Linked DNA regions of Arabidopsis thaliana. The protein of the gene in region 1 purifies or fractionates together with the protein of each later gene. This does not show direct contact. Each region holds a gene or a part of one and is shown in the gene's direction. Other genes may lie near its edges.

Evidence for each region. The genes of interacting proteins can lie anywhere in the genome.
Region 2: the proteins of AT1G11630 (region 1) and AT1G26750 fractionate together in Arabidopsis thaliana (co-fractionation; one large-scale study listed by BioGRID). This does not show direct contact.

The regions. Positions count from the first base shown.
Region 1 is NC_003070.9:3,911,977-3,915,994, reverse strand, and holds AT1G11630 (Tetratricopeptide repeat (TPR)-like superfamily protein), read left to right. Parts: upstream 1-1,529; 5' UTR 1,530-1,609; coding exon 1,610-2,827; 3' UTR 2,828-3,241; downstream 3,242-4,018. Other genes in the region: RBP45B (RNA-binding (RRM/RBD/RNP motifs) family protein), read right to left, coding at 102-567, 840-1,100.
Region 2 is NC_003070.9:9,244,931-9,248,819, forward strand, and holds AT1G26750 (uncharacterized protein), read left to right. Parts: upstream 1-1,926; coding exon 1,927-2,021; intron 2,022-2,232; coding exon 2,233-2,355; exon of another isoform or gene 2,356-2,606; coding exon 2,607-2,709; intron 2,710-2,856; coding exon 2,857-3,123; 3' UTR 3,124-3,344; downstream 3,345-3,889. Other genes in the region: AT1G26740 (Ribosomal L32p protein family), read right to left, coding at 350-419, 881-954, 1,365-1,625; SDG35 (SET domain protein 35), read right to left, coding at 3,374-3,889.

The DNA.
Region 1 (4,018 bases):
AGTTCTTACTTAAGGCAACCTAATCACATAGATACTACAACACACAAATCAAGAGAATGCAAGATCAAATCAGTTCTAATGTGACATATACTTTACTTTACCTCTTTGACCAGTTACACCTTTCTTGCTAGCAGCGGGACCAATTCTCATAGGTCTAGTAGAACAAGGAACGCCATTCATCTCCGTCATAGCACGGATCTGTTCACTTTCATCAGAAAACCTAACAAACCCATATCCTTTTGTACGTCCAGTGACTCTGTCAATAACAACCTTTGCACCCTTCACTGACGGATAAGAGGCTCTGAACGTCTCAAGTAAGATATAATCCGTAACATCAGCAGCCAGATCACCGACAAATATCGTGTAGTCCGGTGAATCGTCTCGTTTATCTCCTGAACTCAATGATGCCCAGTTCAGTCTAAAGAGCTGATCAGGAAAGCTCGGGATAGGAGCGTTGTTGAATGTTTGTAGAACTCTTTCAGCAGCAGCATGAGATGCGAATTCAATGAAACCGTATCCTTCAACTTGACCGGTTTGCTTGTTACGAATCACTTTAGCAGAAACCATCTGCAAAATAAATACTGATAGTGTTAAACCAACTAGTCATTATATAACTAGACAGAACACTCATTAACTCATTGTCGGAAAGAGATTACATATTAAAAAAAATTCAAACATCTAAAGTTAATCTTTTTACACATCAAAATCAAATCTTTCAAATATAAAAGCGAGGAAACAATTAACACTAACAAGTACTTATCAAATTAACCTTAATCTCCTTCGAACAAACAATTAAGCGCGAACGATAAAGCGAAAACAGAGAGATCTGAGAATATTACCTCTCCGGTATGAGCAAAGCAACCGTAGAGGAAATTCTCATCCATCCAATACTGTAAGTCCCCGATCCAAAGAGTCCGGATCTCGTCAGCGGTCGTAGGCTGAACTGATGGCGGCGCCGCCGCTTGAGGATTCCACATCTGTGGTGGTGGTGGAGCAGCTCCAGCAATCCCGTAAGGTTGTTGGTAACCGTACTGTTGTTGCGCAGAAGGAGGAGGAGCGTGATGTGGAAGGATACCTCCGGGTGGTGGCTGCTGCATCATGATGATCGGAGAATAAGATAGAGAGAAAGAACTCTTTTGAATCTCTGACCGTAGAAAAATTGTGATGAAGAAGAAGATAACAAAACAATGCTAAAGATGAGAGATTGTTGATAACCCTTTGAGAAGGCGGCGGTTTGTAATAAAACGATATGTGTTTTACTATATAAATATCCTTTGGTGCTTGTAATCACAAGGGATCCGTGGCGCAATGGTAGCGCGTCTGACTCCAGATCAGAAGGTTGCGTGTTCGATTCACGTCGGGTTCAAACCCCCGGTTTAAACATGATCCTTAACTTTTTATTTAACTTTTTAAAAAATATCCTAGATTCAATCGGAACCGTCCAAGTTGCTGACTAGTCATAAAATCAACGGATGATATGAATTATGTATATGATTTAAGTAAACCATTGAAATTAAAAATTTTATTTTGTCAAACCCCTAAACCGGTTTAAACCTCTTCTCTCTCAGCCGTCGTCTCCATTTCTTCGGGGAAATCATGAACCCTAGTAATGGCGTTCCTCTTCCGCATTCGAACATCGGAATTTATACTCCAGAAAGCGACTCAATTCCGATTGAAGTCTTCTTCTTCATCTATCTTCACACTAAAATCTCTCACTAGCAAGCAGAAGAAGAGCCGAGATACTCTCTCCCTTCTCAAATCCGAGAATAATCCTGATCGAATCCTCGAAATCTGCCGATCCACTTCACTCTCACCTGATTATCACGTCGACCGTATCATCTTCTCCGTTGCGGTGGTGACACTAGCGAGAGAGAAACACTTCGTCGCTGTATCGCAGCTTCTCGACGGTTTCATCCAAAACCAACCCGATCCAAAATCCGAGAGTTTCGCAGTCCGTGCCATTATCCTATACGGCAGAGCGAATATGCTTGATCGATCTATACAAACATTTCGCAACCTCGAGCAATACGAGATCCCAAGGACGGTGAAGTCTCTAAATGCTCTTCTTTTCGCTTGTTTAATGGCTAAGGATTACAAAGAAGCGAATCGTGTCTACCTCGAAATGCCGAAGATGTATGGCATTGAACCTGATCTCGAAACTTACAATAGAATGATTAGAGTCTTGTGTGAATCAGGTTCAACGAGTTCATCATACTCCATTGTTGCAGAGATGGAGAGGAAATGGATAAAGCCAACAGCTGCTAGCTTTGGTTTAATGATTGATGGTTTTTACAAGGAGGAGAAGTTTGATGAAGTGAGGAAAGTGATGAGAATGATGGATGAATTTGGTGTTCATGTTGGTGTAGCTACATACAACATTATGATTCAATGTTTGTGTAAAAGGAAGAAATCTGCAGAAGCAAAGGCGTTGATTGATGGGGTTATGTCTTGTAGGATGAGACCAAACTCTGTGACGTATTCGCTTTTGATTCATGGGTTTTGCAGTGAGGAGAATTTGGATGAAGCTATGAATTTGTTTGAGGTTATGGTGTGTAATGGATACAAGCCTGATAGTGAATGTTACTTCACTTTGATACATTGTTTGTGTAAAGGAGGGGACTTTGAGACAGCTTTGATCCTTTGTAGAGAGAGTATGGAGAAGAATTGGGTTCCGAGTTTTAGTGTCATGAAGTGGCTTGTTAATGGACTAGCAAGTCGTTCAAAGGTCGATGAAGCAAAGGAGCTCATTGCGGTAGTTAAAGAGAAGTTTACCAGAAATGTGGACTTGTGGAATGAAGTCGAAGCTGCATTGCCTTTGCCTCAGTGAACAAAGGTACACATAGAAGAAGTCATTCATCTTCGATTTGACATGAGGATTTGAAGTTTTTGAGATTGGTTAGTTTAGCTGAAATCATCTGTCAAAATTGAAATGAAAGGGGATATAGTTTGAAGAGAATCTTGTCGTTGAGATTAAGAAGCTATCTCTCTAAGGATTGGTGCTGGTGAATTATCAATTTTCTTACTGAATTTTTTTGAACATGTTGTATATAAATGGAATGTAACATTTTTCAATATATCGGAAACGATGAGCCTAATCGCTTCATGGCCTTGCTGATGAATTGAATCTCGAATGTCTTTTGTTGGCATGGGACCATGTTAGCTTCATGAAAATGTCCATCAGGTTAAGCTTATGTAAGACCAAAACTCTTCATTATAATGATATTTACATTCTTCTCCAAAACAAAAAAATAAAAGCATCATATCTAGCCATTCCAAATACTGGAACCAGCTTCTTCTTCTACCTATACCCACCTCTGAAAAGCCCGGAAGCCAAAGCAAGCTAGGAACATAACAGCAACCACCGAGTGTACGACCCATATCAGTGTTGTATTCAACTTTTTGGCAATCTTGCTTATATCCCTCAATGTAGATGCTAATATACCCGCTTTCGATAAATACCACAAGCTTACCATTCTTCTCATTGAAGAAACTTAAATATCTACAACCATATATCGGAAGCCGATCTGTTATAGCAACTGCCACCAGCCAGCTCCAATGCAGCTTCTTCTTCTTCTTCTTCACCCATAAGTGTATGTTACTTGTTAAGCCGCATTCAAGTAACAAAGAGAGTTGATCTCTTCTGAAAATCCCTAAAGAAAGATTATTCATCAAATAAGATAACTCACTCGAAAGATAAAAAGGAGGACGAACCAAGGGCTCAAATCTCTCTTTTGAGAAATCAAAACTCTGTACTGAAACGGGTTTATGATTTGACTTATTGTAAGCTATCCAATAAGGAGTTCCTTGTAAACACACACTCGACTATGGTTATCAATATAAACCATTAGAGGTCTTATCAACAGCCGTCTTCCAAGAATCAGATTTGAATGAGTAAACTTCAACCGTTGAACTTAAATCAGATTCAAACTCATAAAATGTAATTCCTATCTGTTTCTTGAATTTGAAAGTAAAAAAAAAACATAAAATATCCAAAGATAGAAACTGAGAAATCCTTAAA
Region 2 (3,889 bases), 5.3 Mb from region 1:
TTATTGAGACAGCGAGCGTACATGACGAGAGCTTCAAAAGCTTGTATAGATGGTTTCACGTGAATATATTTATCCATTTCGAATATATTTAGCTGTTGAATCCAAATCTAAGAGCACAAATAAAAGTGAATGAGATAATCCTACACTTTGCAACAAGCAATGACAATAACATAATTTGTCAAGAGAAGCATGAGAATATTGATCTTGCAGCATACAATAATTTGCCAAAACAGCATCAACTAAGTCTTTTATCATTCTAGTGTACTACTAAGAAAGCCAAGATTTTATCCTCTTGATATCCAACAAGGAGTAATCATATTGGAAACCATGACCAGTTGTTCGAATTGCCTTACTCAGTAGGGTTTAGCCGCTCACCGCTGCAACAGAAGAAATGTGGCAGCTTGACTCGCCCGCAACTCCTGGAAACACAAAAGAGTGTGCACTTAAACTGGCGGCATATATAAAATTCTGATACAAGTGCCCTCACAATGAGATCATGAAAACAAAAGAAGTTTTAAATCAAACATATACCAAAACCGAACAACTAGACTCATATTTTGTACCATGTTGCACACAAGTAGGTCTTTCGTCAAACATGTTAACGATACACAGTTCTAGTTACTCAAGTGCAGTTTATACCAAGTGATAGTTAGGAGAGACAATGAATCACAAAGCATATGCATTTATTCTTCAGCTGTTGCTGCAGCAACAACAACCTAGATAAACCTAACAGAATTTTTCTATCACAGCCTCAAAACTAAACACCCATACCAAACTCAACCTAATGGATATATTAAGAAGCATCAAACAGATAAAACAAGAAGAGAAGCTAATCTGCGGACAAAAAAAAAAAGAAAAAGAAGAGAAGCTAATCTCTTACCTGCAACGGATGATCACAGGAACAGGCTTAAGAGCCTTTGGACCATTTCTTATCCCTCTCTTGTGTTTAGAAATCTGCATGTTTCATCAAGAACAGCTTCAATTAACACTATCATTCTCCAAGGAGCCATTAAAAATTACACATTTTCATTCACATGTGAACCTAAAGGAAGTAAGGAACCAAATCAACTTAAACCCAAAGATACACAAGCAAATGGAAAAACAATGGACACTCAAAAACACACAAAGAGACAACATTTCTTAGATAGATTCTATAGAAGAAGCAATCTAGCACTTAGTATCTCAATTGCATAATCAACTAATAAGTCCTATAGTGCACCTTCCTAAAACCCTAGATAAACCCTGACTCCGTCAAAAAAGCTAACCCTAGATACCACAATAAATCAAAACCCTAAGAAATTTTATCATTTCAGAAGTGGAAAACGAAAGGAGAAAACTAATTAAGGGACTGAGAGTTCTTTGACCTTCTTCTTAGGCACAGCCATTAGCTCCATGGATCCATTAAAAGCAAAACTAGGAAGCCCGAACCCGAAGCTCTTTTCTTCGATCAAACCCGGTTGATTCTGATCGAACTCAGGTAAAACCAGCGGCGGCATAGAAATCGGGCGATCAAAAGCTCCGTTCAAGGGGGAAGGCATCGCAGCGACATGACTTAAGCTTCGGGTTTCCAAAATGCGACAGGACTCAACCGCGGCGCGTTTTAGCGATGTCAATCTCAACGCCATTGATGCAGTTTCTCCAAAGCTATAGCTGACGGAAGTGAAGACTAGTAGAAGAAACCCAAAAGAGGTGAAAATTTATCAAGGCAAATGTATTTACGAAACGGCTGCGTTTTGACATACGAACCATACAATTGCTCTGTTAACCGATTTTAGACCGTAATTTAGAGTGTGATGTACCCGGTTTAATTCATGAACCATGAGGTTTTATCAAATCGAGCCATTTCTGAAACCCTTGTGTCTTCGTCGTCTCTGGTAAAACAATAACAGATCAAGCGAAGAAGAAAAGTGAAGAAGCTCAGCAACAATGTCGTGGATGAAAGGTGATTTACTTTCCAAAACCAGGAGGCTTGTTGGTGGCTTAGCTACACGAGAGCCTGTTTGGCTTAAAGCCATGGAAGCGTAACCCTCTCTTCTCCCATTTCTATTTCTCCAAATGATTTGGCTCGATTGATCAATTTGATACTTCCTTATTGAATCATCCGTTAATGGGTTTCTAATTCGGATGCAATTGAATTCTAATCGCACAAAAAGTTGAGATTTTGGCATCTGTGAATTAGGATTTTGAGGGTTTTGTTGAAATGAGTGTTCTGTGATTTGGTTTTAATGGCAGATCACCACCTCCTGTGTTTCCTCGCTCCAATGGAAAAATCCAGAAGATTGTTCTCCCTGAGGATCCTTACGTTCGTAAATTCGCTAATAAGCATCCTGGAACCAAAATTGATGACCCTGCCAAGTAAAATTCTCAACTTTTTATATCTCTGCATTTGTATCAAAGATAGTTTGATGATTATGTTATGAGTTAGTTCTTCATAAAGCTTATTCTGATATGCATCACTATAGAAAGAAGTTTAATTTCAAACAATTTTGTCTTGAACCCATTACTATAAGCACGTGTCACTCTTAAATTCTGATTCAATGGGAGAGTTTCACCATTTTTCATTCTGTATCTATCTCCCTCTCATTGCATCATCTTCAATTACCTAGGATATCAGCATTTATTCCAGATCAAGCACGTGTGTATGGTTGCCGGGTACTTGAATTGAAGGAGCATGGCATCAGTGAGGGTGACGCCATGTCTGTAGCTAATGTACGTATTTTCTTTTCACAGTCTATGATTAGCTACGATACTTGAATAGATATGAATCGTAGTACCGCTGCTGTTGATGCCGTTTCTTTGAACATGGGAGATGTTATTCTTCGAACTTGCTGAGTTTGTGTTTTGATGATTTTTCAGATGGAATATCTTTCAGAGAGAAAGGAAATGAAGAAAGCATACAAACGCTTAAAGGAGCTTGCGGTAATGCAAGATAAGGATCCACCTCCTAAACCGTATCCTAGTGCCAAGAAAGGGTTAATAACTCAATCGAAGACATCCGCTAAGGATCGCTTCCAGACTCCTAGCGTCCGCAGGCTAGTTAACCAGTTGAAAAATGAGAAAGATGTGTTGCTGCAAGACAGAACCGGAGGAAGTGCTAATCAGGATAATTGGATCGACGAATAAATTACTCAAAATCATCGTTTTCTTTTTATGCACACTACTCATCCAATTTCTTTGTAGAACTGGCTTTTTTCATATATGACATTCTTTGACTACAAATGTTTTGCAACAAAACAAGTGTTATTTCCATTTGAATGTCTTTGTAATAATATCATTGGATGTTTCCTTCCATGAGGCAAGGAATTACAGAAAACCAAAATGGTTACTCTCTCTATTGATCCTACAAGCAATTAGTTTCAACATTTGTAACTTGTTACTCTATGCCAAGAAGAGTCTTCATTGCCTTCTTTTTCGATACCACTTTGCCATAAACCCCCTTCCCTAGCTTCATGATTTTCTCCATCTCCACAATGTTACTGAAACCTCCATGCTTCTTCATCATCCCTTCCACAGCCATCTTCATCAATCTCTCATCACTTCCAACAACATCAGAGACACTATCCACCACAACTTCCATTGTTGGTATCTTCCTTCCCCACCTTTTCATAAGTCTCTCTGAGTTATAAATCTCATCATAAACTCCCCAATAAGATGCTCTCAGCAACCCTTTATCTTTCCCTTTTACCTTCCATCTCTTCATCCCTTCCTCCACCATATAAACCGCGTTCCCTGCATCTACGCCTCTCTCTAAACCCATTTCAAACTCTCTAACCTCCTGGTTGGTAGCATACAAGACACTCTCAAACTTGCATCTACTGCATCCGCAACAAAACCCCCATGACTCAGCCATCTCTTTCCGTTTTTCCAATGGAGAAAGCACATCAAAGTA